Linked DNA regions of Alligator mississippiensis. Each later gene encodes a partner of the first gene's protein in a complex. Links are inferred from orthologs where the notes say so. Each region holds a gene or a part of one and is shown on either strand. Other genes may lie near its edges.

The links.
Region 2: the proteins of BCAR1 (region 1) and SH2D3C are in contact, whole or in part, in a crystal structure (PDB 3T6G), measured with the Homo sapiens proteins. The link is inferred for Alligator mississippiensis from reciprocal best matches to the Homo sapiens genes BCAR1 and SH2D3C. Residues at the interface, in NP_055382.2 of Homo sapiens: Ser739, Gln742, Phe746, Tyr747, Gln750, Asn754, Val779, Ser782, Lys783, Ile786, Leu787, His790, Val793, Phe794, Ile795, Asp797, Thr798, Arg801, Gln802, Ser816, Asn817, Cys820, Leu823, Arg824, Val827, Lys831; in NP_733745.1 of Homo sapiens: Thr543, Val544, Pro545, Val547, Gly616, Val617, Arg618, Glu622, Thr625, Leu626, Pro627, His628, Leu749, Leu752, Leu753, His771, Gly772, Val773, Glu774, Val776, Leu777, Leu780, Glu781, Ala783, Arg784, Ala787, His788.

The regions. Positions count from the first base shown.
Region 1 is NC_081833.1:41,199,036-41,214,511, reverse strand, and holds the start of BCAR1 (breast cancer anti-estrogen resistance protein 1), read left to right. Parts: upstream 1-8,137; 5' UTR 8,138-8,259; coding exon 8,260-8,271; intron 8,272-15,476. UniProt on the Homo sapiens protein: Docking protein which plays a central coordinating role for tyrosine kinase-based signaling related to cell adhesion. Implicated in induction of cell migration and cell branching. Involved in the BCAR3-mediated inhibition of TGFB signaling.
Region 2 is NC_081835.1:57,376,185-57,391,463, forward strand, and holds the start of SH2D3C (SH2 domain-containing protein 3C), read left to right. Parts: upstream 1-6,726; 5' UTR 6,727-6,780; coding exon 6,781-6,820; intron 6,821-12,459; coding exon 12,460-13,147; intron 13,148-14,996; exon of another isoform or gene 14,997-15,124; coding exon of another isoform or gene 15,125-15,168; intron 15,169-15,279. UniProt on the Homo sapiens protein: Acts as an adapter protein that mediates cell signaling pathways involved in cellular functions such as cell adhesion and migration, tissue organization, and the regulation of the immune response.

The DNA.
Region 1 (15,476 bases):
TGGTTGTAAAACTTCCATTCCAACATGGTAACATTTAATACCTGCTGTGTGCTATTGTATTCTGAGAAGCAGAGCACTATAGAACCTCTCCACTGGTATTTAACTCTTTGCTTTACTATAGATAAAACTTTCAAGGCCCACAGGCTAACCCACCAATACTGGTCTGAGCCCATCCTTGTGTTGTCAGATGAGGCATGGAGATGACAAGTGATTTGCTCAAGGCCTCTCAGTGAGTCAGTGGCAGAGCCAAGCTTTTTGACAAGGAAAAATAATTTATCAAATATCTATAGCATGTATATTATGGTAGCACCCAGAACTGCCAGCCAAGATCAGGGAGCAGTTGTGCTAGGTGTGGTACAAACATATAACAAGAGAATCCCTCCTCCTGAGAGTTTTCAACCTCTATAGACAAGACAGATAAAGAGAAGAGTAGGAGTGACTTTCCCAAAGTCCCAATGCAACTCAGTATCAGAGCTTAGAGAGGTCACAGGTCTCCTGAGTCCAGCACACTATCATGTGGGCAGTGCCCACCTGCCCTGATGCCTTGTCTGATATATTCCCTGCTCCCCCTTGTCTCTTTCTGTGGGTGGGTGTGGATACAGTATAAGCTCTTCAGGGCCGGAGCATACCCTCCCTCCTCTACATTTGTACAGCTTCTGGCAAATTTGGGGCACATAAGCAGGTTAGTGAGCCTACTGCCTCAGACAGACCTTTACATGAAAACCACAGCCCTTGCTCTCGCACACACATAAACAAACCAGTACACCAAGGCTTGTAGTCTTTCTCTGGACAGTAGGGGAAGCCTTTTTGCTCTGGCCCCTTCCTGGTGTTGATCTTGTCTGGGTTCCAGTCCACCTTCTGCTCACAGACTACTTCTTTCCCATAGCTCAAACTTCCTTGCTCTCCCCCTTGAGCTTTTAACTGCCAGTGGGGCTACTCCTGGAGTAGCTAATTACCCATAGCTGGGCTTCTATAAAAGGGTTGTCTGCACCCACTTAAAGCACCAGATCCTGCTGTTACAGGGAACTATTAGAATTCAAACAATAAGAACCAGTCATAGAATCCAGCTCTCCTGTTTCTATGTTTGCTCATCTCCACTGGGCCAGGCTTTTTCCACAGCCATTATCACTTGTATTGCAATAGGGTTTAGAGGCCTCAATGGAGATCCCAGCCCCATTATACTGAGCATTAAATACATGTGCAGGAGATGGTTCCTGCCCCAGAGCACTTAGGGCCTAATTAAACAAGGCAGACAAAGGGGAAGGAGAAGGGCACTACACTGAAACATTTAAGCATGTAGCCTCATTGAAGTAAAAGAGATTACTCATACATTGAAAGGTATGCTTGATGCCTTGCTGAATAGGGGCCTGAGGCTTTGTGGGACAAATGTAGAGAAGAGCTCAGCACCCATGATCAGGGCTGTTTTTCTGTTCACCTTGGAAAATGCAGGCCTTATTTAGGGGCCTAATGAGGGGCTGAGTTCTACCAAATTGGGTCCTAGTTATGGACATCAATTCTAGCCCTAATGGCTTGTACAAGTTTTGCTCTACATGGTGTGGGTACAGTTCTATTGAATAAGGTGCTTCATACCAGCTGTATTACTGTATATGCATAAAGTAATGTGGGAAGAGGAATAACTATCCTGATATAAAGTGTCTTTATACTTATGTAACCACATTCACCAAGGGCTTCTTGCCACACAGTTATTTATGTGAAGCACCCACACCCCGCACCAACATAGTTATCCCTGTAAAAGGTTAAATGTAAACTAAGCCAAAGTGCTAGCCCCGGGTCACAAAGGCAGACTACAAAAGTACTGAGAAGTAAATCCAGATCTCCTAGATCCTGGGCCAGTGCAAGATTACCCCATAGCTGTCTTGTTTTTGATCACTAAAATTAGTGCTTTTAGAAAATTCCTGTGAAAAAAAAATGAAACTTGAAGTGCCTCATGAAGAATTTCACGTCACTCCAAGTGCTATCTATGTAACCAATATATTGACTCACACACTGCAAAGTTCTGTCATTTCTAGTCATATAGACTACACAGTCCTCTCTGTTACACACACACATACCAAATGCACAGTCATCTTGATCACATGCACATAAACTGCTTAGTCCCCTCTGTCATTCACACACAGACACTGACACACACAGAATGCAGAGCCTATAATCTCTCTCTCACATTCATAGAGATTTCACAGTCCACTCAGTCTCCTTCCAACTGTGCTGCTTCTCTGTGAAACACACATGCCAGATTTTATTTTCACAGACATACGCACAGCCTTCATGTTTCTTTCTTTCACTATCACTCTGTCACACAGATATGAGACTTGAGTGACAGTGATCATGAAATAGCAGAATAAAATAAATGGATGTCAGAAAAGCAGACTTAAACAGACATAGAGAATTACTGGGTTGGATCCCACAGGAGGAAGGTATAAAGGGAAAAACAATGCAGGAAAATTGGTTGTTCTTTAAAGAGGCAATGAGGGCACAAGAGCAGGCTATCCCAGTGAGAAGAATGAGAAAGCACAGCAAAAAACCTGCGTGGCTAAACCATAAGCCCTTCAATTACATGAACCTTGGTAAGAAATCTTAGAAGAAGTAGAAATTTGGCCAGGCTACTAGGTATATGAATACAGCATAGGCATGCAGGGACAAAATCCGGAAGGCTAGGGCATAAGCAGAGATGAAGCTTGCAAGAGACATACAAGGTATAAAAAAAAGCTTTCCATGAATACAGGAGAAGGGGTAGACCAAAGCAAGTGTCTGTCTCTTATTGAGTGGAAGGGAAAGTTAATAATACACTGTGCAGAGAAGGTTGAAGCATTTAGTGAGGTAATTCTCACCCAAGGTGCCATGGCCCCCTGGGGTGCTTTGACATCCTTTTAAGGATGCCATGGGGTGTCACATCATGTTAGTTAGGTGTGCAAACATGATTCATAAAATAAACTCTGAGACTTCAAATAGGAATCCATAGTCTGACCTGTTGTGCACTTTCTGAGTTCTAGGCAACAGAAAAGTTGCTCTATTATTTTTCCATAGTAAAAAATGAGTGAAAACTAAGAGCTAGCATTTTCCAAGAGCTGTCTTGAGTTTAACAAAGAGTGCCTTGACTCTAATGATGGGTGCATTGAGTCTAAGAAGGTTGAGAAACACTGATTTGGTATCTTTTCCCTTCAGTATTCATAAATGAATAAAACTAACATCCTGGACAGGGGTAAACAGTTTGGAGTAGGAGAAAAATAAGGAGAGATTGATTAACTAAGTTGCATGTTTTCAAATTAGCAGGACCCAGTGAGATTCATCCTAGAGTACTGAAGAAATTGGCTAAGGTAATTGCAGCGCCATTGGCCATTACCTCCGAGGACTCATGGAGGTTGGGTGAGGTCCCAGAAGATTGGAAAAGGACAAAATACTATTTACCTTTCAAAGGGGGACAAAAGGAATTCTCAGCCTCAGGAAACCCAGAATGTGGCAAAGGGAATGATATAACTGACAGTCTAACTTTGATCCCCAGGAAGAGATAACATAACATGAAAAAAAATGATTTATAAGTACCTAAGCAGGGGTTGGCTGGTATTAAATGATTTCCTGAACAGCCAGCACAGGCCAGTCCTGATACACATAGGGATTGAAATTCCAACAATAATGTCCATTCCCATGCTACAATATAACTTCAGAAAGGCTAATTGGGAACTTTTTACTGAGGATATTGAGCGCACTGTTTCTCAGATTCCACCAAAACCTGAAAATTGTGAGTACTTTACCAAGCTTGTGCTCAAAGTGGCCTGATCATACATCCCCAAGCATTACTGGGTGGAGTACACTCCATGGTGGCCTGAACAATGCAAATCTCTGTTCCAGGAATTCTCGGACTCAGGAAACCCGGAATGTGGCAAAGCTCTCTTGAACTTGCTGAATGAATCCAGAAGACAGATGGACCAAAGCAATGGAGTCAATAGACTTCACACACTCAAGCCATAAAGCTTGGAGCCTCCTGAGACACCAGAAGCAGCACCACAACCAACAAATAAGATCATCAATATATCCGTAAATGCCATCCCCTCAAAAAAGCTGCTGGATAGAAAGACCATTACAGATCACCAGACTAGACAGCAAGTAAGGGCTTGACTCCATCAATCAATGACGTAGTGTAGAGTACAACAAAAACAGCCCAGTCATCTCCCTTCACTGAAGAAGAGGTCATTGAAGCCCTAAGAGCTACCAGATCATGGAAGGCTGCAGGATTAGATGGGATCTACCCCGAGTTCTTGAAACATCTTGGCCAAAAAGGAGGCTGTTGGTTGGCCAGACTCTTCTCCAACATAATAGCCACAAGCAAAATTCCCAAGATACAGTAACAAGCAAAGGTCATTGCTATTCCAAAACCCAGAAAATCAACCATGGACCCAAAAAACTTCCGCCCTATATCCCTGCTTTGTACAATATATAAACTTCTTGAAAAAATGCTACTGGTTTACATGTTTTTCATCTTCAAGGTTATACCAGCTGAACTGGTTGACTTTCACCCTGGACACAGCACTAGCAACCAATTGCTGGCACTCATTACATATATTGAAGCCAGGTACCAGTGCAAAGAGATCACGGGAGCTGCCTTCATTGATTTATCAGCAGCTTATGGCAAGATGGCCTCCTCCTGAAGGCGTCAAGGGTCATCAGGTGCCAGCAGGTACTCTGTCTTTTATCAACACTCCTGTCTAACCAGCAATATCACGTCCATCTAGGGAGCACTGTCAAAAGAACCTGTCTACTAAATAGTGGTCTCCCACAAGGATCAGAGCTTGCACCAGAACTTTTTAATGTATACATAAGTGATCTTCCTGTTACCACCAGCTGGAAATTCGGCTATGCTGATGACCTGCTGCTTGCTACTCAAAGAAGGACTCAGGCTGAAGTCCAGGCAGATCTTTGCAAAGACCTCAAATTGCTTGAAGAATATTGCGCATGTTGGAGACTCCACCCAAATCCAAGGAAAACTGTCGTCATGTCATTTCATCTAAACAATGCCCACACTGACCAGAAACTTGCCATCACTTTCTGTGGAGAAGAGGTTAAGCATGAGAAGTTCCCAAAATACCTTAACTTTCAATTGGAGCCTCACCTTTTGTGAACTTCTATGGAATGTTGCTAAAAAAGTGAAAGCCATGAGTTAAGCTTGTGCATAAACTGGCCGGAACGACGTGGGGAGCAAATACAACCATGCTTCAAATGGGCACTCTGGCACTTGTTTTCTTTGCAGCAGAATAAACAAAAGTGTGCACACAAAAATTGTTGATACACAGTTAAATGCAGCTATGAGGATTATATCAGGAATGCTAAAAAGTATGCCATTGCCATGGCTTCCAGTCCTAGCAAACATTGCTTCCCCACAGTTCCGCCACAATGCCACATGCATGAGGGAATACCATAAGGCCACCGGTAACCCAAACTTCCTAATCAACAAGGACATCACTATGCCACCACCAGATAGGCTCAAATCTAGAAAACCCTTCTGAGAAATAGAAATACACCAAGCTCTATAATGATAACAAGAGCACCAAAGAACAATGAAGGGAAGCCTGGGTAAATACCAGCTTGCCACAGAAAAACATCATCTGTGATCCTACACTTCCCCAGTCAGAATTTGACCTACTAAGAAAGATTTGGTCCTCCCTGAATAACATCTGGACACTTCATGGAAAACGTGGGCACCTACTCCATAAATGGAGAATCAAAGAGACTCCAAGTTGTTATTGTGGTGCAATTTTTCAGATGATGCAACGCATTGTGAATGATTGCCCAATTAGATCATTTAATGGAGATCTAAAATCAATCCATGCAACTACACCTGAAGCAGTTGAATGGTTATCAAATTTAGATATTAATCTTTGAATGTTGTAATCCTAAAATGTCATATGAAAAAAGAAGAAGGGGTTGGCAACCTTTTAGAGCAGCAGGCTACCCCTTGTAATCTGGCTGCTGCCACAGGGTGCCAATCCCTGCTCCCTTGTGCTATGGGTCTCTCTTCCCCTCTACGGGACTGTTGTTGTCTTTGCCACAAAGAGACTTCTATGTGGACTATATAAGGCTTTTCACACTGTTTCCTATGACATTCTCATAAGTAAGTTAAGGACAGATAACATAAATAAAACTCTTTAGGGTGGGCTCATAACCGGTTGGCTAATTATGCTTAAAGGGTAGTTATGGCTCCATGTCAATTGGGAAGAGTTATCACATGGGATTCTTCACCTTTTCTTCAGTCCACTATTAAATATATCTTCATCGATATCTTGGAGGATGGAACTGAATATGCAGTTAGTAAATCTGTGGGTGACACCAAGTTGTGTGATGTAGCAGACACTTTAGATGACAAGATTAGGATTCAAAATGACCTTTTGTATATTGGAGAAATGGTCTAAAATAAATAAGAGGAACTGTAGAAAGAACACGTGCAAAATACTACACTTAGGGCCCTGCTACATATTCAAGTTGAAGCTGGATAGAAACCAGCTATAGAGTTGCACCACATATTCAAGCGCTAACTTTATAGCTGGATAGTAATTTTTATCATGTGATAATTACTTTTGCATGCATAGCTGGTCTAAGTTTATTGCACAATTAACCAGTTAATTCTGTGACAATTACTTTGCACTAGTGGCCAATCTTACTTTGCACATGTGGCCTGTCAATATTTATTGTGTGATTAACCAGCTAATTGTATAATATACTAATGTGTAGCAGGGGCCCTAGGAAGAAACAATCAATGCACACAGGGAAAATGGAGAATGACTGGCAAGGCTGAAATACTGCAGAAAGGATGTAGAGATTATAGTAGACTGCAAGATGACTGTGAATCGGTGGTGTAATATTGTTGAGAAAAAAGCTAGTAACTTTTATTACTGTCACATGCAAGTCATGGAAAGTGAGTCTTCCACTCTATTCAGCACTCCAGGGATCTCACCTGATGTACTCTGTCCGGTTTTGGTCACCACCCGTTAAGAAAGATGTGAATGAATTTGAAAGATTCCAAAGGAGAGGCAAGAAAAGATTAGAGGTCTAAAAATGTGACATGAAAACAGTGTGGAAATTTGAGATAATTTATTCTAGGGATGAGAAGACAAAAAGAAAGATTGGATGACAGTCCTTCAGTACAATAAAAGGTTGCTCTGTAGGGCTTAAATATGAGATTCACGGTAGACAGAAGAACTTTCTAACTCTGAGTGGGGTTTGGCATTGAAACAGATTCCCTAGAGACAGGTCATCATGTCTCCATCACTAGAAGTTTTTTAATGCACATTAAACAAACATTCTTCGGGGATGGTAGAGACAGGGAGGATCCAGCCTTGAGTAGGAGTTTGGACAGTAGCTGATCTCCTGAGGTCCTTTACAACCCTGTTTTTCTGTGAATCTGTGACTATCCAAGCACACAGACAGCATATTCCACTCTGCCTTGCAAGGACCTTGCTGCCACACAAGCACACAACCTTCATTGTCACCTCTGTCACACGCACACACAGACTGCATAGCGCATGTCATATACATGTGCGCATGCAGACTGCAGTCCCCTCACACGTGTAACATGCGCATTGCACAGCCTGTCACACACATGTGCACACAGTCACACAGCCCTGCCACACACAAGTGCATGCACTTACTGCACGATTTAGTATACACATGTACACGTGCAGATGGCACGGCCCCTTCACACGCGCCACGTGTGCATACAGATTGCACAGCCCCGGCACACACGCGTGCACAGGCGGACTGCGCAGCCGTCCCACACACGCTCGCGTGCATGCACTACACAGCCCAGGACACGCGCGTGTGCACGTGCCAAGGGCAGCTCCGTCACGCCCATGCCTCCTCCACACGCCTGTGCACTAGCAGCACCACCCGTCCCACGCTTGTGCAAACAGAGACCACCAAACCTCATCACACGTGTGCGCAGCGCCTGGCCCGGCCCGGCCCGGCCCGGCCCCGCCCCGCCCCCGCGCACCGCAGCCAATGGGCGCGGGGAGGCGGGCACGGCGGGCGAGCTGCGCGGTGCCGGCCCGGCCCAGCCCGCCAGTCCCGGCGCCGCGCGGGGAGCGCTCGGCTGCGGCGGCTGCGGCTCCCGAGCTGAGCTGGGCGGGGCGGGCTGCGGTGGGGCCGCGCGGCCGGGGCGGGGACCGGGGCAGCCACCGCCACCGCGACCAACTTTCCTCCCGGCCGGGCGGGCCCTTCCCGGATCGGCGCCCGGCCCGGCCTGCGGGGAAGATGAACTACCTGGTGAGTGCCCCCCCACCCCCCCGGCTCTGCCCCCCGCGCTGTCCCGAGGACCTTCCTGGGGCGCCCCGGGCCGGGCGCAGACAATAGCGGGTCTCCGGGGTCGGCGGCGGCTGGAGCAGGCGGGAGGCCGCGGGTCCCGTGTGGACGGCCCGGGCGCTCCGGCTGCAGCAGGGCCGGGCTCCCCCGCCCGGGGGTGACAGCACGGGCCCCGCGCCGGCTGCCTCCCCGGCCTCGGCGCGGGCAGCCTCCCCCGGTGCCCCCCGCCGCACGCAGCCCGCGCTGGCCCCCGGCTTCGGCCTCCCGGCCGCGGCGGCTCCTAGGCAGCGGCGCGGGGATCTTCCCTGCAGGGGAGTGAAGGGCAGCTGCCGAGTCTGCCGTGCTGCCAGCGCAGGCTCCCTGGCTTATCCACTGGTTTATATTTGAATGTGAAGCTCTGGAGAAACGGCGCTGTGGTTGCAGCAAAGCTGAGGCAGAAAAGGACTAAACGCCCAGCGGTTTTGGGGACCTAAAGCTGTTGCAGTTCTGTAGCTGCTTAAGGACCTTTGAGTGACAAGTTTGCAGAATCGTAGCCCAGTTCTCGGAGGACAGATGTGCCTGGAGTAAAACCCACCAGTGGCGTCGGTGCTAATCGGGCACCTCAGCTAGTGGGAGGCTGGGGCCCAACTCCTTCTCCCCCGCATCAGGCAGACGCATGTTGCAGTTGCGTTCGTTTGGGGCCAGCAGAGTGCTGCACTGCTCTGTGCGTGGATGTTGGCAGCAAGGCATTCAGGGGCATGCTTGCTGCTGTTGTCCCTGCCGGGAGGCTGTGCAGAAAATAAGACTCCAGGCTCTCAATCTAACACCATATGTATGCACCTCCTAGGCATCTGGATGTGGTGGCTGGAGGGGGTAATTACCTGGATGAAGGAGAAGATTGAAGCCATGATGTGGAGAATTAGCTTGTTTTAAATCAGAGGCCTTGGGGTCTATTCCTCCCCCAGGTCGTCCTCCTCTTTTATGGTTGGACCCTTGCTTTCCCCCCCAGGTTAACTTCTCCATTTAGCCCCTTCGTGCCAGGTTCTTGCAGTGATTTACTGAGATGACAGTTGCCATCTTGGCCTGCAAAAGCTTGACAAGCAACTTCCCAGACCTGCTCTGACCAGTAACACATACTCAGAAGGTTACACAGCCAGTTCATACCTGCATGTCCCCCATGTCCTTGCAAGCAGTTTTGCTACCCAAAGTCATGCAAGAAGCCATTGGCAAAGAGGCCAACTTCCAGGGCCTGCCCTAACTCCCAAGCAGCAATTTTCTTACCACAACCTTGACCCCATCTGAGAATGAGACTTGCTGCAATTAGAACAGGGGACAATATGTGCGGTTTCCTTCTCCCACCCTGCTGGGATATTTCTGTTTCCTGGAGGAACCTTGCCCATCTTCTTTTCCTGCTTCCCACCATCCACAGGATGATATCATTGAGCTACAGCTGCCCTGTGGCAGTCACCAAAGCAAGGAGGAGTTTCGTGCAGGCATTCCCATGCCCTCTTGCTGATCCCAGGTGCAAGTGACTATGCTTAGCAGCACATGGGTCTGGATATCTGGGCCCACAGGGCTGCTAGGCTCTCTTTCCAGCCTCTAGTTCCTCTCCTTCCATGATGGGGCAGTGGTCAGAGACTGTAGCATAACTAGAGGCAAGCTTGCTAACAGGATTGCTGGCTCAGGGCCAGTCTCCTTTTTAAATCGCCCTGTGTTTTTCATGGTTAAGTGACAGCTTGGAGGTGAGACCAGTTCTGTTCAGAATTATCCACTGTTCAAATGGTGATAGGGTGAAGGGGAATGGAAATAAAATGAACCCAAGGCCAGAGCCTAGGATCAGGTATCATGACATTTGGGAGTCAAGGGCCAGCAGTGGAACAGGCCAGGCCAGGGCTTGGGTCAGAGGCAGAGGTTGGAAGTCTGGGCACTAGGAGAGTTTTATTATCCAAACTGTACTGTGAAAGCTGAAACACCATAAAGTGGGCTGAGTGGCAGTCTGCTTGATGCCAGGCAAAAGTCCCATGCAAGGTGATGCCACTGTGTTGCCCTCCTTAAGGTGGTATTTGCCATTGCTTCTCCACACTCTTCTATAATTTGATGGTTTTAGAAGGCGGCTGTTGTAAAACAGGGAGGGGAGGGGGAGCTGGGAGTCATTGGCACATCCAGTGGTGCGTGTGAGAGCATGAACGTCCTCTCAGTGCACGTCAGCAAGCCGGCTGGCTCCAGCAGCAGTGTAGAGTACAACGTTAATGATTCACTAGGAGATAATCAGCAATTGCCAGGCCTGGCAAATCTTGCTGTGTGAGTACAGTATAGGGCTGGGGGAAGGGAGAGATTTTTTCATGTGTGATTACAACATACAGTGCCAATGGGGCAGCTTGAGGAAAGGATCATTTCTGGCATTAAAAACCTCCTGAAACATTGCTTCAGGGTGCAAGAGAGCCAGCATAAGGGCAGTTGGCTTGCCAGGAGCTTGCAAATCACTTTTCTCCTTCTGTCCATTGGAAATTCTCGTGTTGGTGCAGCACCAGATTCATACCCCTTGTCATGGTGCTCCTGGGTGACCAGTCAGGCCATCTTTGCAAACCACAGGACCCTGGAAGTGGAGCACTGGTTTTCAACTTTGTTAGACTTGGAAAATGCCAGCTCTTAGCTGTCTCTCTTTTTTTTGACTACAGAAAAATAATAGAGCAGTTCTTCTGTTGCAAAGCACTCAGAAAGAGCACAGCAGGTCGGAATGTTTTCGGCACTATGAATTCCTATTTGAAGTCACTAGGTTTATCTTGTGTAGGTGTTTGCACAGCTAACATGGCTGATAGTGTGGGCACTTCCTGGCACCCTGAAAAGGATCTCATGGCACTTTAGGGTGCTGTGCATCCTGGTTGAGAATCCCTGTTCTGGAGTGATAAGGGATCTTCCCCTCCCAAAAGGCAGGGGTAGCATGCTCCTCTGCCAGGTAGGTGTATGCATGGCACTGCTGCCAGGGTTCATCCTGCCATCTCACACCCTCACCAAGGGGCCTGTGCTTTGGGAATAGGCCATGCGAGTTTGTTGCTAATGCACAACATGAGAGTTATTCCCCTAGCTCTCTTCAGTGTGCATGTAAAGGCCCCCTTATAACTTCTTGACATTTACGTTGTTAAAAAAAACAAAGAAGCAGCAAACAAACCAAAAAATAGAAGAAACTTGGAGCATGCGGAGATGGCAATGAGAGTCCAGGCTCATTGCACTTGGGGGAGAGAAGACCCCTAAATGGAACAGAGGCTGTAAGTCCTTTGAGAGAAGGCATGTGTTGGCTATCCCGTTTAAGTGACCTTTTGGGGGGCCAGTACCATGTGGGATTTCTTCCACCACCCCTGGCATATGTTATGGCCTTGTTTGAAGTAGGGCTGTAAAATCAGGTGCACAAAGGGCTGTTTCAGAAACAAGGTGTGGAGCAGCCCTTTATCTCTCTTTCCCTTTGCCTGTGAAAGTGTAAGTTCCAGTGAGTCGTCACTCCCAGCCGCCCCAGGGGCCAGTGGAAAGGAGTGCTGGGTGTGGGCCTGAGCCCTGGCATGGTCTGGGGAAGGTTCTTGCAGTTTCCATGCCCTGAGGGTGCAGCTGCTGCACAAGAGCCTAAAATTGCAGGTGTTGGGCCATAGGCAAGTCCAGACTGGAGGCAGACAGGCGGATGCCTGATGTTGCTCATAGTGTACAGCTTCTGGTGGGGGTTGGTCTCAGACATTGTGTAGGGCTCACAGCTCCCTGGATGGAAAAGATACCCCATGTGGTAAGGCTGTTCTGTATAGAGAGGGTGACCCAGACAGGAAGGATGGCTCAGTGGTGAGTGCATTAGCCTGGAACAAGGGAGATTGGGGTTCAGCTTTCTTCTCTGCCACCGGGTTCCTGGGTGACGTTGAGTCACTTAGCTTACCTGTGCCTCAGTTCCCCCGCTCTGCCCTGGATAATAACACTGCTCTGCTGCACAGGGAGGTTGGGAGGGCCAGTTCATTAAGGGTGGTAAGGCATGCTGGTAAGGCTGTGATGAGAGCCAAAGGAATGCTAACAATCGGGGAGCCCCCCACCCTTCACAGATGTCCTCACTTGATTCCTCAGCGGGTGCTCTGTGCTAGTGGGGGAGCAGAGCTGAGCTGAAGCAGCCGTTTTGAGGGAAGGTTGCTTGTGTGGATGCATTTGCTCTGTGTCCCCACATGGTGTGATGAAGGGGTCTGAGTGTGGGTAGAAGGGCAAAGAGCTTGGCATTGAATATGTTCAAATTATACTGGTGGGAAGAGGTCTGGGGTGAGGCGAGATGGGCAAGGAATGCAGAAGGGGGTCTGGGAGCTGCCAGAGGGTAAGAGATCCACCAAAGAACAGGAGAGTAAATGATCATTACCTGGGTTGCTGCCCCCCAGTTGATTCCAGAGGCGCTGGAGTTTATGGCTCAGCCCAAGGCTGCGCTCTGTAAGGCTACCTGGGGATACTACTGACTTACAAGCAGGAAGAAGCTGATGGGGTGACTGAACCCAAGAACCTTGCTAATGGCGTTCAGTGTCACATCTTCAAAGGTTCTGATACCCCAGGAGTTCAAAGGGGATGTACCTGGTGCTGAGAAGCAACACTTTGGCTCCCACACAAGGCAGCTTCATTTAACATTTCTGCTAAGTGCCAACTCCCATCCCTGAGATGGGTGTGTGCTGATGGCATGCTTGTGATGACTTTCTTAGGTCAGTGTGTGAAAGGGGGGGCGTCTCACTCCAAGGAAGAAAAGAGTAGGGACAGTGCACTGTGGCTCTGCTGACCCTCTGACACTGATTATGATTGCTAGCTTGAGGCTCTGGGGGTTCTTCCCATGGAATGACACCTTGAAAGGCAGATAGCTGGGTCTGTAGCTAATTCTTCCCACTGCTTCCGTCCCATTCAGATTCCCTGTTTTCTAGGTGGTCCATATTGGACTCTGTTGGCACTTCTAAAGGACAAGCCACATCTTCTCAGTTCATGCACCACATAGGGAGCACTGTTTGGGGGTGTGCCAGTGGGACTGGAATAGGTAGTGCAGTGGGGTCTTGTCATCAAGAGGCAGGGACATGAAATGTAGTGCAGAGCTCTTAGTTTGGTTCTAGGATTTCAGCGATGGTGGTAAATGAGGCTATAGTTGCAAGCCCAGAATGATTGAGGAGTGTGATCCACAAGCAGCCCATGGACGTGTCCATAGCATTCAGCATGGATGTCTCCACTGCACTAGTGATGGAGGGTAGAGACCTGGAGGCAGGGGCAGGATATCAGCAGGAACACCTCAGCATCTTCCTGCCACCACTCCCTGATGCTGGTGGGTACTGCCCCTTCTCACCCTGGGCATGGTTTTGGTGGGTGCTGAAACCAGTCTGCTTCACACCTCAGCCTGGGGAAGCATTCTGGGCCTGTTCTGTCAGGATTTACAGCCAGGGCACATGCTAAATCTGCAGGATTGGCTCCTTCTGCCAGGGGCAGCTTGCAGAGTGCTACCATCATGTTTAGACGTGTCGCCTGGTGGATGGGCTCTGGGCTCACACTGCCTCTCAGACACTGCAGTAGCTCTGGCTTCAGCTGAGTTTACCTGGACCTGGCCTGGCCTGGCTTAGCTTGGAAATGGAGTGAGGGGAGGCTGGAAGGGTGAGAGCACCCTCATCAATCTGTGTGGGGGCAAGTGCTGGTAGGTGGGTGTATGCCTGGGGTTGGGGGTTCACAGTCTACTGGCAGTCTTGGTGGCCAGGGGAGAATGACAGCAAATGTGCAGTGGCAACTGGTCTATTGTGCCTTCTCACAGGATGCTCAGCACAGAGCTGCACCCAGATAGAGGCAGGAAGGGCTTTATGGTGGGAACTAGCACCTGGGTACTTTACAGCTCTGTGGACATGGAGATTCAGGAACCAGAAAACATCAGCAGTTTGGTCTTAGCTGTGTGGGGCCTAGGGGAGCCTTGGCTTGCCTTGGGCTGGTGCTGCCTGAGGACAGCATTTTTACCATCAGTTTAGTGTTTGTAGGGTTGTCAGGGCTGCCTGGAGGACATCATTAGGAGTTAGGCTCTTTGAAGCCCTCTGACCAAAGGTGCAACTGAGATGCAAAGCGTGGGCTGGTCAAGAGGACTGCCAATCTCTCAAAGATGGCAGGATATTCAGAGCCCTCCTTCTTCTGCAGATCACTTTGCAAATGTGGGCTGTACTGGGAAGAAGCCCCATAGACATAAACCTTCTAGGTGCACATCACCTTCCTTACTGCTGGGGCACAGCCTGGCAGATTGGGTTTCATCCTAGCTATGCAGTATGTTTGATCCCATCTGTTTCAGTTACCACAGGATAGATCTGTGTGCAGGTTGTGTCTATTGATGCCTTAATGGTGCTGGAATTGGATCCCCTACAGATGGGATCCCTGGTATACTACATAGCTTGATGGAAGGCCAGCATGGCCAAAACAAGCCTTACACAGTTACTTGGACATGCCCAGGTCCAATCACTGTTACGGGTGCTAACTCCACTACAAGCAGGCTAGGAACCGGTGCCTTGTAATCAGGTCCCTTTCTGTGCTTTAAAGTGGGATGTTAACAGGCCTCAAGAGCTGAGGGCTGAGAAGGCCTTGCTTATTCAGAGCCAAAGCCTGAGGACATTTGCTCTGCTTGCTTATCAGATACTATTCCAGTAAAGAACAGTGCATGTGCCCCCTCGGTTCGTCAGTGCACACAGTTGGGTTGCTTCCCAGGTTCGCTCGTGCATTCCTAGATGCCATTGCTCTGACTTTACTTCTGCTTGAACCTGCAGAAGGCCTCCAAGGTGGACAAATCAGTGCACCAGCCTGCTTCAGTGCTCATGCTACACAATGAGCTCTTTGGGGCTGCCCTATGGGGTTTAGGACTAAAATGCTGGAGCTCTTTCCATGATGGGGGCAGGCAGAGGCATCACGTGGTCCCTGGGAAGCAGAGGGATTATCTGTAGTTCAGTGCACTAGTATTTAAGAAGGGGGCTGTAATCTGGGGGTTTAAAAAACTTTTGGGGTAGCTAACACCCAGACCTTGCACTCTGCAGCCAAGGTCTTTCTGCTGAACAACCTCTTCCACCCCAGTGGGCACGTAAATTGTTGAGCAGTTAATCCTTTTTGTCACTGCTTCCCTCCCAGTGCTGTACCCCTTCCCCTGCTCTCCTTCAGATGCATTGTTCTGGGCCCCAGGGAGGTAACTC
Region 2 (15,279 bases), on another chromosome or scaffold:
GTCCCGGGGACACAGGCTCTGTGCTTGCCTGACCCCTGAGCACGCTGTGCTCTGTGGTACCTTCTGCCTGCCCGAGTGGTACCTTTTCACTCTGGGCACCACCTGCTGGTATTTCCCAGCTTCCAGGCTAGGGCACTGCATGTCTTTCAACAGATGATCCACATAGCAATGGGGCAGGTTGTGTTAGGGACTGAGGGAAGCCTGCAGCCCCTGCCACAGGGCTGCAGCTCTCCAGTAGGGCAGCACAACTTTGCAGCAGCTTTATCCAGTCTCAGCAGGGATAAGTGATCCTTACCAATCACCCCACATTTCCTTTCTGTTCTACCATTTGCTCAGGGAAGGAACAGCCCTCTGCCCACTGCAGCAAGTCCCTTCCCGCCCCATGGACTCAGAGCCCCATGTATGGAGGTGATCGTCTTATGATTTTGCCTCCCCGCTAGGAAACCATATTGGCAGCCCTGTCAGTCCTAACTCATTTGTTTGGAAAGGAGAGTGACTTCTAATCAACAGGCCTGATGAGTCTCCAGGCAGCACAAGGAATACAATAACTTTCCACCTTCCTAAAGGAAACTCCCACCCAGCTCACGTGGCAGCGGAGCGAGCTGCCCCAAGCTTCTTTTCCTGCCAAAACACAGCATTTGCAATCCACAGTGGAGGGAACAATCCTGCACTGGCCCCAGGGGATGGATAGGATGTGTCCGAACAGGCTGCACCAGTCTCTATGACGCCAGCTATGGGGACACCTGCCTGCAAGAGAAAAGGATTCCACAATTCTGCACTGTGCTGGGATGTTCTGTGCCGGCAAAAGTCTTCTCTGTCCTTTGCTTCCTGAAACAGCCCCTCGAGCACCCCCCTACACAGTGATTTGCCATCACACCAGTGGTACAAAACCCTTTTGACCCCCGCGATAGAGGATACAGTGCACCATTGACATTAGATCAGCTCTACTCAGAAGCTTCTGCCACTGTAGTAATGTTGCTTCTGGATAATCCCGATGCCGATATCCAACTGGTACAGCTTATTTCATTCAGAGAACTGCTGGAACAGGAGAGCAGGCCTATTCAGCTACACAATCAGAGCATTTCTAGTGTGGACAAGGCCTTATCTAGGAAGAGTTGCCTTCTAGCAAGAGCAGGGGGACTGGGTGTCTGCACTCCTGTTCTATCCTGCCTCTGCCCTGGGGCTGGTCAGAGACTCAGGCAAGTCGCTTAGAGGAAAATTTTCCATCATGGCCTTTGCTGGAAACCTTTGTGCCTGATGTTTACTGGTGTTCCCCTTTCGCTCCAAGTAAACTAGAGAAGACAACATTTTCTATCTGTCTCGTGTTTGGAAGCCTGCAGATAAAACACGCTCAGCTGTGCTGGGAAGGAATCTACTTATGACAGAGAGTGCGTGCGTGCCTTGGAGAGGGTACCGTGAAGGACACAGGTAGCTGCTGACCCATTGTCGTGAAGGCCGACTGTCTGGCTTGGTGGTCCTTGTGATGTCAGGGGCTTCACCTATCTCTGCGGAGACAAAGAGCTGTGTGCATGCAGAACAACAAGTAGCTCCTCTGAGCACAGCCAGCTGATAAAGTGTGTGTTTATGAGCGACTGTCCAAGGGGAGGGAGCACAGTGTGCAGCTCCCCTGACAGTCATGCTCTAGCTGCTGCCCACACCCTCACTGTGCCGGTGAATCACCACCTCGCAGGTCTCTGGGCAGCTTGTTGGGGCCCATATCACCAAATTCAGTCAGCTCCAAGAGAGTTCATTGTTATGCAGGGGCAAGCGCTTGTCGCCAGAGCTGCTTTGCTCCATCCTGTTGTATCATTTCCCCATGTCAGGGGCCGGGGACTGGATTTCTTCTATGGCCCCTGGGGAGTTTGGCAGGAAGCGACACAGTAAACAGGAGCAGACAATGAGCAGAGGCACTAGGGGCGGAGGCAACGCTCTCAAATTTGCTTCCAGAAACAGAGAGCTCAGTGTAACAACCCTTGTGCCGATGCAGAGCTCAGGGAAGTGGCGGACTGCCAGGGCCGTGGCTCTGCAGTTGTCTGCTTAACCAGACAGCAGGTACGGTCAGGCACAAGCAGTGCAGGTTGAAGCTCTGTGACCTCCCTGCCACCAGCTTGTACTGCAGAACCACATGGGTCCTACAGCCACCCAGACAAGCGTGAACCAAGATGTAGCTCTCAGGACCCCCAATCAGAGCACCACCCTGCTGCCTCCGCACCATCCCAGCAGGAGATGCAGACATCCGCTCACGAGGCTGATGTGAACTATGACAAAGCAATCGCACCCCCCGGTTCTCTGGCCTTCCACGGCTTGCTTCACTCTGGGCAGGTAACGCAAGGCCCCTGAATCCAGAGCAAGCATGTGAGTCAATAACAGTGGGGGGAAAAAGCTTGTTGACAAATGGGGATATCATCCATCAAAATTCAATCTTGCCTTCAGCTCTGAGTGATATGCAGGCAAATAACCTTCCATTAATTTTTCTGTAGCTTTTGGCAGCTGTTTAGATTTGGAGGCTGAAGGGAAAGATGCCATCAATCGTTCTCATACATGGGAAAGGTCCCTGCAGTGCATCCGCTCCTCATTTACTCCCCTCACTTGATTAATGCACCCCATAGCAGTGACATACACATAGCGCTGCCCCTGAGTCCTAGAAACATTAATATGTTTGAAAGCCCAGAACATACCACGACTATTGTATCTATTATAGTGCCGGTGACTATTGTATCAAGTCACCGGCACTGTGTACCCAGAAAGCAGAATGGAGGGTTTTCTCCTGAAAGCATAGGTTTGGGATTCAGGAGGTCTGGATACAAGTCCCAATTCTGCTATAGATTCCCTGTAGGACCTTGGGTAAGTCACCAAGCCTTTCTGTGCCTTGGCATTGGCACTTATTTGCTGCCTCAACAAAAGCATGGTAGAATGAATTCCTGCTTATCAATCATCCACAGACCAAAGGTGTTATGGAAATGCAAAGCCCTTTTCCTGTTTACAAGGTAAATTGAACCCAGCAGAGCTGGCAGACGGGCAGGACGAGACAATATGTGTCCAGTAAAAGAACCAGACAGGATTCCAGGGGCTGCAAACACCACACATCCCAAAGTGCTTTACAAAGGGATCAGGGATGTACAGGGACAAACACCAAAGCACAGACTGTCTCTAATGAGGAATGAGCCTCTGTCTGACCAGCAAGAGCTTCTTACTAAGCCTGAATGATATTGTACAGGCCCTGCTCCAGCTCCTGTGCTCTGGTCCCTAGTTTGCCCTCACCCCTCAGTAACACATTCCCCGGCGCTCACCCTGAGGTTTTCCTCCTGGCCCTGCCAGGTTCTGACACAGCATGGGAAATGCTAATCGTGTTACAAGCCTTTTCAAGCTGTGCCAGCCCAGCTGCTCCTCTGCAACTGTGCATGTGTTGGGCATCGCCTGACAAGCAAGGAGACTGCAAGTGGCCTTCCCAGCAAACCGGCAGGGAAAGGGAACAGCCATGGCCTTCCGCTCCCTCTGGAGGGAGTTCAGGGTCTGGGGCAGATTGAGGAGCTGCCCCACACCAGGCCCCTTTTCTTCCCATGCCCCATACCAAGTCCATACGAGGTCCTCCCCACACTCCAGGCCCTGTGCTGTTCAGCAATCACTCAGAGCCAAAGAACCCAACCCAGCAGCCGCCTGCCCCAGCAAGCATCTGAGTCCCAGCTGCGGGGCCCTGCAAAACGGAGCCTCTGCACAGCACAGCCGGTCCCAACCAACTCAGGACAGTGCCTCTTCAAGGTCCAGGCACAGCCTTTCTGCAAACCACACCAGCCTTCTCCCCTGCCCGTGCCATGCTGCCCCCCTTTCACCATCTCAGTCCTCTCTTCTCACCACCACTGTCCATGGGCATCAACTGGTCCCAGCCTTCAGGAACACACCTTTGGCATGGAAGGCATGGAAGTGGTGGACATCAGTACCAAAGGAAGGCTGCTGGGGGTTCCCAATCTCTAATCGAGGCACTGACCCCCACCTGGTCTGTCCCCTGGGACAGCTGGGTCTGCAGGAGCTTGCACCACTACATTTCCATCATACCCTGTGTACAAGTCCCTCCCAACCAACACCATTTCCTAGGACCAGAATGGCTCTGGCCTCGAGCATGGCTCTGATCTGCACCAACCCAGGCTGGGTTTACAGAGAGCAGGAGCCTAATTTCACCCCCTTGGCCTTTCCACTATTCACAGTCAATAGGTCTCCCTTTCACCCACTGGGGTCCTCCCTGTCCAGCTTGCATCTCCAGGGCCTCCCGCTCATTCTGGGTGAGGGGTGCCGGATGCCATGCTGCATTTCCAGGCAGCATTCCCAAATTGGCTGCTGCCCTCTAGTCAGGTATCCTTTAAGCTGTCCGGCTAAGCCTGAGAGATCTAGCCATGGTGGGGAAAGAAACAGGCGCTTCCATCTCATCAGGACCTCTGGGATGTTGCAGAGTGCTCCCTCAGATCACAGAGCTGTCCTGGTGATGCCTCTGGAACCAGCCACCCTCTCTGCCTCCCATGCAGCTCTGTGCCTGATGGCTGCTGAACCGGCCCCTTGTGTGCTGCTTTTAATCCTCTTGGAGCCAAACTGACTCTATGCAGGTGCTCTGGGAGCCAGCCATGAAACAGGCTCCCCTGAGCCCCAGACTATGTGAAGTATTTCACATCTACTCAGACTGTGGCACTCCACTGAGATTAAGGCACCAGACTCTCTGCCTGCTTTAGTTAGAAGGACTAAATGCTCATCCATGGGAGTGCCTGTTACTCTGTGTGTGCTCTTCTCTGTTCCTCACTCTCAGCAGTAGCACGTAGGATTGGCCTTATCTTGCCAGGCCTTGCAGTGTCCTTCTGGCAACACACCTCTAGCAGCAGCCAGTGTTTGACCCTTCAGAGATCACAGCTAAAGCACTCCCGTGAATCCTCTCCTTTATAGACTTTTTCAGGATTAGCCCTTCTGAGGAGGCCAATGGGTGGGGGTACGGGTATAGGGATAGGTGTGTGCAGTTGCATGGTGCGAACTGTGTAATGGGTTTTTAGTGGGCTTTGAGCTGCCAAGTGAACCACAAGGGCCACTTGGCAGAGTGTTGTAGGTAGAGTTATATATCTATATTTATATACATAGAAATAAATATTTTTGCAAAAAAACCTCCAACTGTTTGCTAAGGTGATACAGTTTCTGCTGAATAACTCCTTATACCTTTTAGGGGTGTTGCACACACCACACCTATCTCAAGGGCACAGGTGAGGGCATGGTTCCAGCTTACACTGTGCGTGGGAATAGAAAGTGTGTCACTGCACTACAGTGAGGAAGGGCAGTTCTAGAAGTTTGTCCACACAAGAGGAAGGTGTTGTTTTCTGGTGGTCAGGACAGGATTCATGCCCCCCCCCAAACCTGGGCACTGAATTTCCACGTGCTATTTAGCAAAGCCTTTGGACTCCTGCTTCATCAGCTCTCCCTCTGTACAATTCCTCAAGCTCTATGAGGTACTTGGAGATTTTGGATGAAAGCTGCCATGTGACAGCAGTGCAGCCATTATTAGAGAAAGCTCTGTCTAAATTTCATCTTAATAATGCACCTGCTGCCACTATTGTCTGCTTCCATCCTTCAGGATTCTTTGTCCCTTCTACTCAAACGCCATTGTGGAGTTGAAGCAGCTGTCACAGAGGTGGCTGCATTTCTGTGCTGTACTCACATCCCAATAAAATCCACTGCAATCAGAGTAACTCCATAAAGGGCCCGGCATTGACCCATTGTTTGTGTGGCAAAATCAGCAAGGATGGTTTGCTGAAGAGCTTAGTGACCAGTGAGGCAGCACAATAAAAATGTGCAATCGTTCTTACTCCCTCATTCTTGTTTTGCAATTCCAGCCACAATGACGGAAGCCAATGGTTTCATCCCTTGCTCAGACATACAACGTCTAAGTTGACAATGTGAACTCAAGCACAAACAGCCTGTCTTACCCAGGGCAGATTTTTCCACTTGTGCCAGTGTCATACTCCAGTAGAGTTGAATCAGATTCCACCTGCTGGCCCTTGATGTAGCTGCTAATGCCTTGGCCTGGTAAAAAACCCACTGGTCAGAGATAAGGATGAGGATCCCCTTTAGGAAGGAAAGGAGTTGAAGAGACTAATTTCTGCCCTACACTGGGCCAGTGGAGGAGCAGGAAGGATGACTGTTACACTGCTATAGCTATAGCAGTATAAGCTCCTATGTGGACATTCTTACTCCAGAATGAGCATGTCTTTCATTCTGGATTAGCCCTACACCCAGCCTGCAGGTTTCTCGGTGATGCAGACAATCACCCAGCCTGCCGGTTCCTCATGGCCTTGGGTGGAGAGGGAGAAGCTAAAAGTCATTGGAGGTTCACTGATAACATCTTCCTCTTCCCCTTCCCCCAGGTTTGATTCTTGGCCAATGCGAGAGCAGATATTAACCTGAGACTGATCTTTTTGGAGCGGGGTCCAGGTTGTCCTATGTGTTTGCACAGCATCCAGCAGGACGGAGCTCTGAGCTGGATGCAGTCCCAGGATGCTACTAACAGGTCACGGTGGCTAACCGTAGCACCAGCCAGGGGTGCTCATGCCAGCAACAGGGGACCCTTGTGGTGGAAGCAAGAGGAGGGAGCAGCGGGTGGGTGCGGGAGACTTTCAAAGATAGAGGAAGTGTAGAGTGAATGAGGAGGAGGGCAGGGGGGAAGAGGAAGGGAGGAGCAGAGAGGGGAGGGCTTAGAGACAGATTATAAACTTACACCCTTTTTTGTTTCAGTGGCTCCATCAGCAGCCGAACATGGCAGAGAGCCAGAAGAAAGGGGGCTTCAAAAAATTCAGTAAGTAGCTGTGGGGTGTGTGCTGGGGACTGTCATGTGGGTGCTCCTTGATTAGCCTGAAGGCCAAGCATAGTGCAGAAGCAAGCAGGGGAAAGTTGCCTGGGTGTAGGTCATGTAGTGGGTCTCCACACCATGGGGGTCTGTGTGCTATCTTCATGGGCTGCTAGTGAGTGGCACTTGCGGAGGAAACACACTGCCTATGTAGCAACTGGGGTAGCAGAGCCAAGAGATTTAGTGTAGCTGTCGGCTCTCCTGCTTTGGATGGGGTGGGTTGGTGTGATCGGGCCGACTGGAGTTTCTGACGCGCTTTGCAGGTGCCACCGTATAAAACAGTCCTGTCTGTTGGCCGCTCTTGAAACCAAGCTGTCTTGCTAGGAACAGTTTTCTCCAGCCAGTATGAAATTGGGCACTGAGGTAGAAATGCAGGTGGGCATCCTTCTCATTTCCCTGCCACCTTGAGCTCAACGGAGCCACATGAGACTCTGTCCCCACTCTTAATCCTGCACCTTGATGGAGACTGGTGGCATACTGGATCCTGGATGCTGAGGGGGACTTGTGGACTTGCATTTGGAGGGACTATGCAGAAGAGATGAGGCTGCATGGGGTCCCCAACCACAGATTCTAATAGTGTTAACTCAGGCTATAGGGCTATAGTGTTTCTGGGCTATAGGGAAAGTCCTGGTGTTCATTGCAATGGGAGTTTTTCCCCTAGATCACGCTGGAGCCAGTGGTCACTCTACACATTTGTAGAGATCATTTGCCATTCAGAGTCAATTGCAAAGGAAATTTACCAGCAGCATCTTGTGGGAGTAACTTTGTTCTTTCCTAGAGACCTGGGGCTTTCCCCAGCACACTGAAAGGCAGCTACCCTACCACGCTTTCATTTTCTGCCCCCTCCTTCTCTTCCTTCCCAGCAAGCCTCCCTGTCATAACACTCTGCTAGAATCTGAATTTGCAGGTTTTTTCCACTCCCAAACCCCTCAGTGCCGTGGCTGAGATAATCATCCCTATCTGATGTCTTCTATGTCAGGATCACCACATGATTCACAAACATGAACCAGCCTCACAACCAGAGAGAATAGTCCTGATTTAGGGATGAGGGAAACTGAGTCACAGAGTGCTGGCTGGGGCAGAGCAAGAACTGAACCCAGATCTCTGATCTCTTATTTCTGAGCATTTGCCATTTTGGGGCGTAGCATTTTTTTGGCAAAGGTTTTGGCTATGAAGGAAGGGCTTCAAAGGCACAAACAACAGTAAAAAGACATTTGATTTTCAATCTTCCCTTCTCCCAGTGCTCTACAGTCTGTCTGTTCAGACTGGAACCTGTGCAGGGCAGGGCCCATCTTCACACGGGCATGGCTTCATCACAAAACTCATTCAGCTATGTTCTTAGCTTGGGTTGGGTAAAAATAAAATAACAGTGAAGACAAAGCAGCCCAGCTCAGCCACTCAAGGACAGCCCAAGGTCCTCTGTGAGCTTGACTTGAGCTGCTAACCCAAGCTAAAATCCAAGTTGCCTTGTTTTCACTGCTGTTTTAACCAGCAGTACAAGCAGTCTGTTTCTGCAGTGAAGACATGCCCTTTGTGTTTGTGCAACCTCTTGAACAACTTATCTTAGTCAAGGCCTCCAGGCACTACCAGAATACAAATAGACAGCAATAAAATAGATCCACTGAGACATATTTCAGCCACTTATTTCAAGTATGGTTATGATTATGGGTGGTCTGGCTGGATGGTACAAGGTAGTCATTAAAGTGCAGGACACCTGGGTTCCCCTTTTAGTTCTGCTACTGGTTTAGTATATGACTTGAAGCTCATAACTTCCCCTCCTTGTACCTTCATTTCCCCAGCAGAAGTTTTGCAAGCTTTAACTTGCAAGTGTTTGCAAATGTCTTGGAGAACCTCAGAAAACAGGGCTGGGAAAGGGCAAAGGGTTGCATTGCAAGGCAGCAGTCACAAACATAGGGCCTTTGGGGCCAGAAGAGACAGCTGTGATCGTTTCACCTGCTGTCCTGCACAAAATTTCCAGGCAGACAGTTCCGCCCCGTGATCCCCACATCAAGCTGGACCGCTCTTGCCCGATCTAGCCCTGGCCTGAATCCCTGCGCCAACTAAGTTGTAGCATGATGAGAGAGCAAAGCGGTACCCTGAGAACAAAACTACAAGCTTAAGTCTCAGTTACTGGCTCCCTAAACAGCATGTAAAGAAGCAGCTGCCACAGGAAGTGGTCACCAAGCTGCAAAAAAGCCTTTAGGCGGTAGGTAAATCAGTGAGGTCGTGTACTGCCAATGTTTGTGGCAAAGCTGGGGGGCTGTGAGATTCAGCTCCCACGCTGAACCACCATCTCAGTGGGGAGAAGCGGGGGAAGGGGCCAAGGTGAGAAACACAAGCCCATCCTGTTTAAGTTATAACTAGGGCTTTGGTTAGCACTCTGCAGTCAGCAATAGCAGGTGGTGGCAGCTGTAAAACGAGCCCAGCAATGGAGAGCAGTCATTGCTTGCTTGCTCAGCTTAGGAAGTGGGTAGATTATCTACTTCCCACAGTGTGTGCTGCTGGCGGAAAGCTGGGCCGAAGTGCTAGCTCACAGTGTGACGGTGCCCTGAGCTAGTTAGGAGAGGCACAGAGATGACACAGATATATACGTGTTCACAAAGGCACAGAGCTGCGTGGTCTCACATCCATGCTGAAACACACACTCATGTTGCACAGTAACAGACACGCTCACAGGTAGGCACACACAATCCTGACTCTCTCCCCAATGGCTCTTGCCTGGCTCAGGGTCCCCACCAACGTGACAGCCTGGTAGCCCAGAAAGAGCCACGGGGCCAGGAGGTGAAGAAACTGGGCAGCACCTGTCTTGACAGCTCTGGGGCGGGCAGTATACCTTTCAGAAGCGAGAGTCTTGGGTTCTGGGCCTGGCTGCAGGGCTAGGAGGCAGTTCCTGCCCAATGTGATATCCTGGCCTGCCCCCCAGGGCCAGGGCTGGGGCCTGGGATTCTTTCATCACTTGGTTTCCCTCTCTCCATAGCCTGGTGGGGCAGATGCTGCCCTGGGAGCTGAGTGCCAGCCATGGTAGCGACAAGCACAGAGCAGCACCTGGAACGCCCCTCAGTGCTGGGGCAAAGAGTTGGGATCCCTATCCCTGCTCAGTCTTGGGCCTGCCCAAGGGCTTCACCCCTAATCTGACTCTAGCTCAGCAAGGCAGGCAGCCACTTGGGCCCCGAGCCTCTGGCTTCTATCCTGCACTGGCTGCAACATTTAGCTTGGAGCATCCTTAGCTACAAAGCAGAACCTTGTAAAGGACACAGGGATCAGCATGCAGGACACCCCACATCAAAGAGCAGCCCTGCCCTCCTCCCGCTGAGCTGCCTGGTTCTCTGCCACGGCTCTGTGGCTTTCCCTGCAGATACATATGTCATGCCAATAAGCACCTACTGCCATACCCCTATATACTCCTGATGGTTGTATTATTGGGGGTCACCAGACATGACAGATAGCTCAATACACTGTTTGGCTGGCTGCATAGGCAGCTAGCAATCTGGGGCTGTTCTGTTTGGAAGCTGAGCCTGTCTCAAGGCTGTTCCCGATCTGAGTCACGTTCTGCCTGAAAGAACTGCTTACGGTGCAGAGTAGCTGGTCTGCAACGCAGGGATGAATGCTACCAGGACACAGCAGCTGGGTGTGACCCCCACTTTGCATAGGCATAACTGATGACTCGATGTGCAAGTCAGAGGAAGGTCAGATGGTTGGTAGGGGCCCAATCCTGCCCTCAGCTACACATTGCCAGGTACTGGATAAGGCAAGAGCTGCAACATGGAAATGAAATCATGATTTTTTGGCTTTTTTAAATACCAGGAGGATACTAGTCTCATGATCATACCAGTTACACATAGGGCAAGCCTGGAGATGGTCCAGAGCTCTTTTCAGAGGATGCACCTGCTCCCTGCATCTGGCTCTTTCCATTTTCACCCAGGTGCATCGACTCAAAGATGAGCAACTCTTAGAACTGCTGGTTATTACCTACTGCACAGAGACCAGACATGACCCCAAGCGCGCAGGGCAGTGCTGGGACCCCCGGCTATTCTCACCTCCCTGAAAAAGCCCAACTGAGCGGAAAAGAAATGAAAGCCAGAGGCAGATGCAGGAGACTATTTTTGATCACTCTCATTTACCACCTACTTAAAAAGGGCAGGTTTAAAGGGTTTGAAATTTATTTTTTGCTGTCATTTCTCTTGTCTTGTTTCCTCCTGTTTAGTTTGGAGCAAAGCCTATGGCACGATGTGTGTGTGTGTGTGTGTGTGTGTGTGTGTGTGTGTGTGTGTGCATGCACACGTGTGTGTAAAGACTTGTCATAAATTGTTCTCAGCAGCCAGACAAATGCAGCTTCTTCCTCTGCAGCTGTCAGTGTTTTGCTGAGACAGGGAGAGGGCTGGGAGAGGGGCGGCAGGTGGCCCTGTTTACGTTTCTGTGGCTAGTTGGAGAGGAAAAGAATCACTTTCCACCTTGTTGCCCATCCTGGGCATGAACCCAGAGGGCAGAGCCTGACTGCGGGGTTAGAGGACTGCTTGGCCCTCACGAGTGCATCTGAGTTTGGGTCTCAAAGTCCCACCTTGGTCTGAAGCCACTGGGCTTAGCAGGACACAGGAGCAGGGAGAAGCAGAGGTTAGCTTGTTATTGGGGTCTCCCTCTTTTTAAACCAGTGTCTCAGGAGGCGCCTAAGGCAGCTCACCTCTCAGCAGCACCATGCCCGAGCAGAGCAGGCCTCACACTCCCTAAGCATTTCTGTCAGACTTGCCTCCCCTGGGGCCATGATGAACATGCCCCAAAGGAGGCCAGAACTCCCCAATGGGGCTGTAGCTACTGAGCAAAACCTTGCCAACCAGTGGGCAAAGGCTGACACAAAGTGCTGATTTGCTGGGTCACTGGAGCAGTATCAGATGCTGCTCTCCTCACTGGCCTGATGCTCCTCCACTGCCTGGATTCCTTAAGGAAACCCATCAACTTGGCTGGCCTTAAGCAAATAGCACAAGTGCTGGGGGGTTGGCAGGCTGCTGCCCAGCCAGCAGGAAGCACTCACACCTTGGTTATGGTGGATCCCCCAAAATAGTGATGTTTTTTGGCTTTGTCATTTCACCTTGACATTGGGGCTATGGGTTTGCTTCTCTGGCCAGATATATACAGAAGAGGGGGAAGAGTTACTATTCTACCCCATCCCCTAGCTGATGCTGTGTGGACTGATTTTCAACAGCCCTGCTCCTTGTGCTGTCCTTTGCCTCTGTGCCAGTGTGTGAACATGGATTGGGTGAATGGAGGTGCCTGGCAGCATCTTGTACTTGCTTTGCACAGGAGTGAATCATACTAACAACCCCTAGTTCCTACCCGACTCTTTCCAGACCCATATCTCCATTAGCCTAACAAAGGTCAGTGCCATTGTCGCCAGCCTACAACAATGGCGCAAACCCACTGGCCCAAATCAAGGTTCAGGAGAGTACCACCAGGTCACACCAATGCAAAAGGTCCTTTTTATCACAGTCTCAGTTTGGGATGCAGATGAGTCCCATGGCCCGGGTCTCCTATGCCCATCCCTGCTCTCCCCATCCCAGCAGTAACACAGACTGATGCTTTCTCATCTTTTCCAGAGTTCTTCAAGTTCAAAGGTTTTGGGAGCCTGAGCAACATCAATCGAGTGTTCACCATCCGGCGAGTGTCTGTCGCCCCCAGCGCACAAGAGACCCTGGGGCCGGGTCTCCTGCAACCCAATGGCTTCCTGGAGGACCCCTTTGACAGCACTCAGGATGACTTGAACACCATGCCCAAGAGCCCCACCCCCTATGTCAGGTCATCCGACATGTACAGCCATATGGGGACAATGCCCCGGTTGAGCCATGCAGGGAAACGGGCTAAGAGCTCCAAAAACTGTCAAGAGAAAGGGAACCTCGGTGGCAAAGCCTGTGGCACATCCCCATCATCCCTCCCAGAGTCCCCAGCATCTTCTGTTGCCCCTGCCCCTGGAGCAGACCCCCCCTCGACAACTGGAGAATCAGAGCAGAACGGGGAAAAGACTCTGCTGTCAAACAGCATCCCCAGCCCCAGGGGATCAATCACGGCAACACCCAAAGTAGAATCCAGCTCCTCAAGGAGCCTCCCTGAATCAGCCCCTGAGTGCGCAGCAGAGACACAAGTGGCCAGTCCAGCACAGGCCCCTGTTCAAGCTCCCAGGACAGAGCTTACCAAAGAGGAGCCATTGGAAGACCTCATTCAGCTAGATGGAGGAGATCAAGGGAAAGAGAGTTTGCTGCCAGACCCCCCTGAGAGCTCACAGGAAAGGTAAGACCCGGTCTGATATAGCCCCCAACTAACTAGTGCTGCTGAATCACGGCTTGAGTTAGGAGGGTGCTGGGCCTACAGACCTCTAGCCAGCGAAGTCCCTAAGTCCTGAACTAAGCACAGGCTACAAGTCTGGAAAATTCAGTTGCTTTTGAGAAACCTTTCAAATTTGAGAACACTTTTCCTGTGGGATTTCTGGGCTTTCCTGCTTCTGGTCCAGATGGAAATGTCTCTGACAGCCTGGCTTTGCCTGTTCTTCCTGTTATCTTGTTCTCAGTTTAATTTCAGCTCATAGTGTTATGGGCTTGATCCAGCTGAGAAAGGCAATTCCCCAAATTTTGGAGTGTCGAGAGCAGGTGTGAGATGGGTGTGTAACATCTCCAGTGTGCGACAGTCTTTCACCCTCTCCTCCCCCTGGGATGGGAATGTCCCTTTCAGAGCTCAGCCGCTGCCTCTAGTTCAGGCTCAACAGCTGGGACATCCAGCACAGGCGGCCTGCTGCTGCTGTTCAGACCCCAAATGTCCGTGGCTCCCAGAGGAGAGAGCTGCCTTCACCCTGGTGCCTCTCAGCTCCAGCCTTACCCAAACCGATTTCAGTGCGTGTCAAATCCGTGAAGGAAGTCTCTGCCTGGGAAAGCCTGTGCACGCAGGAGCTCACAAGCTGGAATGCAGATGGGGGCAAACTGGGCTGCGTAGGCGGATGGTGGGGATTACAGCTGCATTAACGAGACCCTAGCATGCTTTTGCGGTGATGGGGGAGTGAGGAGAGTGACTTGACAGCAAGTTTCTGAGAACCGTAAAGGATGGCAACCCCCTGCTTGCCCCAACTTTCAGCACCTGCCCACAGAGTTCCCCCCCCCCCACCCCACCAACAGCCTAAAAAAGATGACAGCCTCCATGCCTGTGTGTCTGTAAGCATGTGAACCCTTTGCCCTAGAAAATAGGCCAACCCATCGCAGGGGACTCTGGCTGCTCCCCCTACAACTCCCTAAAGCCAAAGCGGGGGGCAGAGCACAGGGGGAGACTACAACGCAACCCAGTAGCAACAGGAGCTCCCAGTGCTGCCAGATCCATTCCTTTAGCCAGCACGCCCATGAATCCCATGCTGTCTTTTGGTCTCCCCATCTCTGAGGCAGTGCGATATGCTGCCAGTTCCTGGGGTGATGGAGGCAAAAGAAGGGGCAGGTGAGAGGCATGCAGTTTCCTTGCTCTGGTTTCCTTGCTCCTCCCACTGCTTGTCCCTGGGAAGTCCAGTGTCTTCCTGGAATGGACTTTGCTTGTTCAGACAAGCCTGGGCTGTGGGCCCAAGCAGAGGATGTTATGCCACTCTCCATCACAGCAATTTCTGAGCACAAAGAACCAGGCCCTCAGCTGACGTAGCAGCCTCATTTGTGTGAAGCAAATGGCGCTGCACTGATTCATACCAAGGAGCTGAAAATCTTAAAGGAGAGGCCTTTTCTTCTCCAGTGGGGAAGTTTTTTCTCCCCAGTCTTGGCTCCTTACACCCCTTCTGCCTGGCCCCGTTCCGGCCTCACATTCCCGTTTGACATAAGAGAGGCCCTGTTGGCCTCAGCGGAGTCACTCCTGATTCCCACCAATGTCAGTGACCTCAGCCCCCGGCCCCCTGCCTCCTTCCCACACGGGACCAGCATTTTCCCAGGGATCTGGCATTTGTTTTCTCAGGCGGTCTGTGTTATGGGAGGCTCAGTGCGGGCTGCAATGCCAGGAGCATGTTAATGAAGAGGAATTTCTCTCAGCTGTGGGAGCTGGGCCTCTGCTCAGCTTTACATGCCTTATTGGGCACTGAAAGGGAGGGACAGAGGCAGCTGGGAGGAGGGACAGGGACACAGAGGAGGCGGTTCTGCGTCCGGCTTCAACCTCCAGAAGTTCAGCGCTCGCAGCTCAGAGCAAGAAACAAAGTTTCTCCCCAAGTGCAGTGTGCAAGTGCGGAGCTCACAACTCAGCCAGACAGGACAGATGACAGAGGTGGGCTGGAGGTATTACACGCTGGGGCATGGCAGGTAAGCATATCAAGGCCTTCCACAGCTGAAGGGGAGTTGGTGAGACCAGAGCAGCGTGCTTGTACAGGGGGATCCACAGTTAATTTTGCTTTGCAGAGGAGAGCAGAGTGG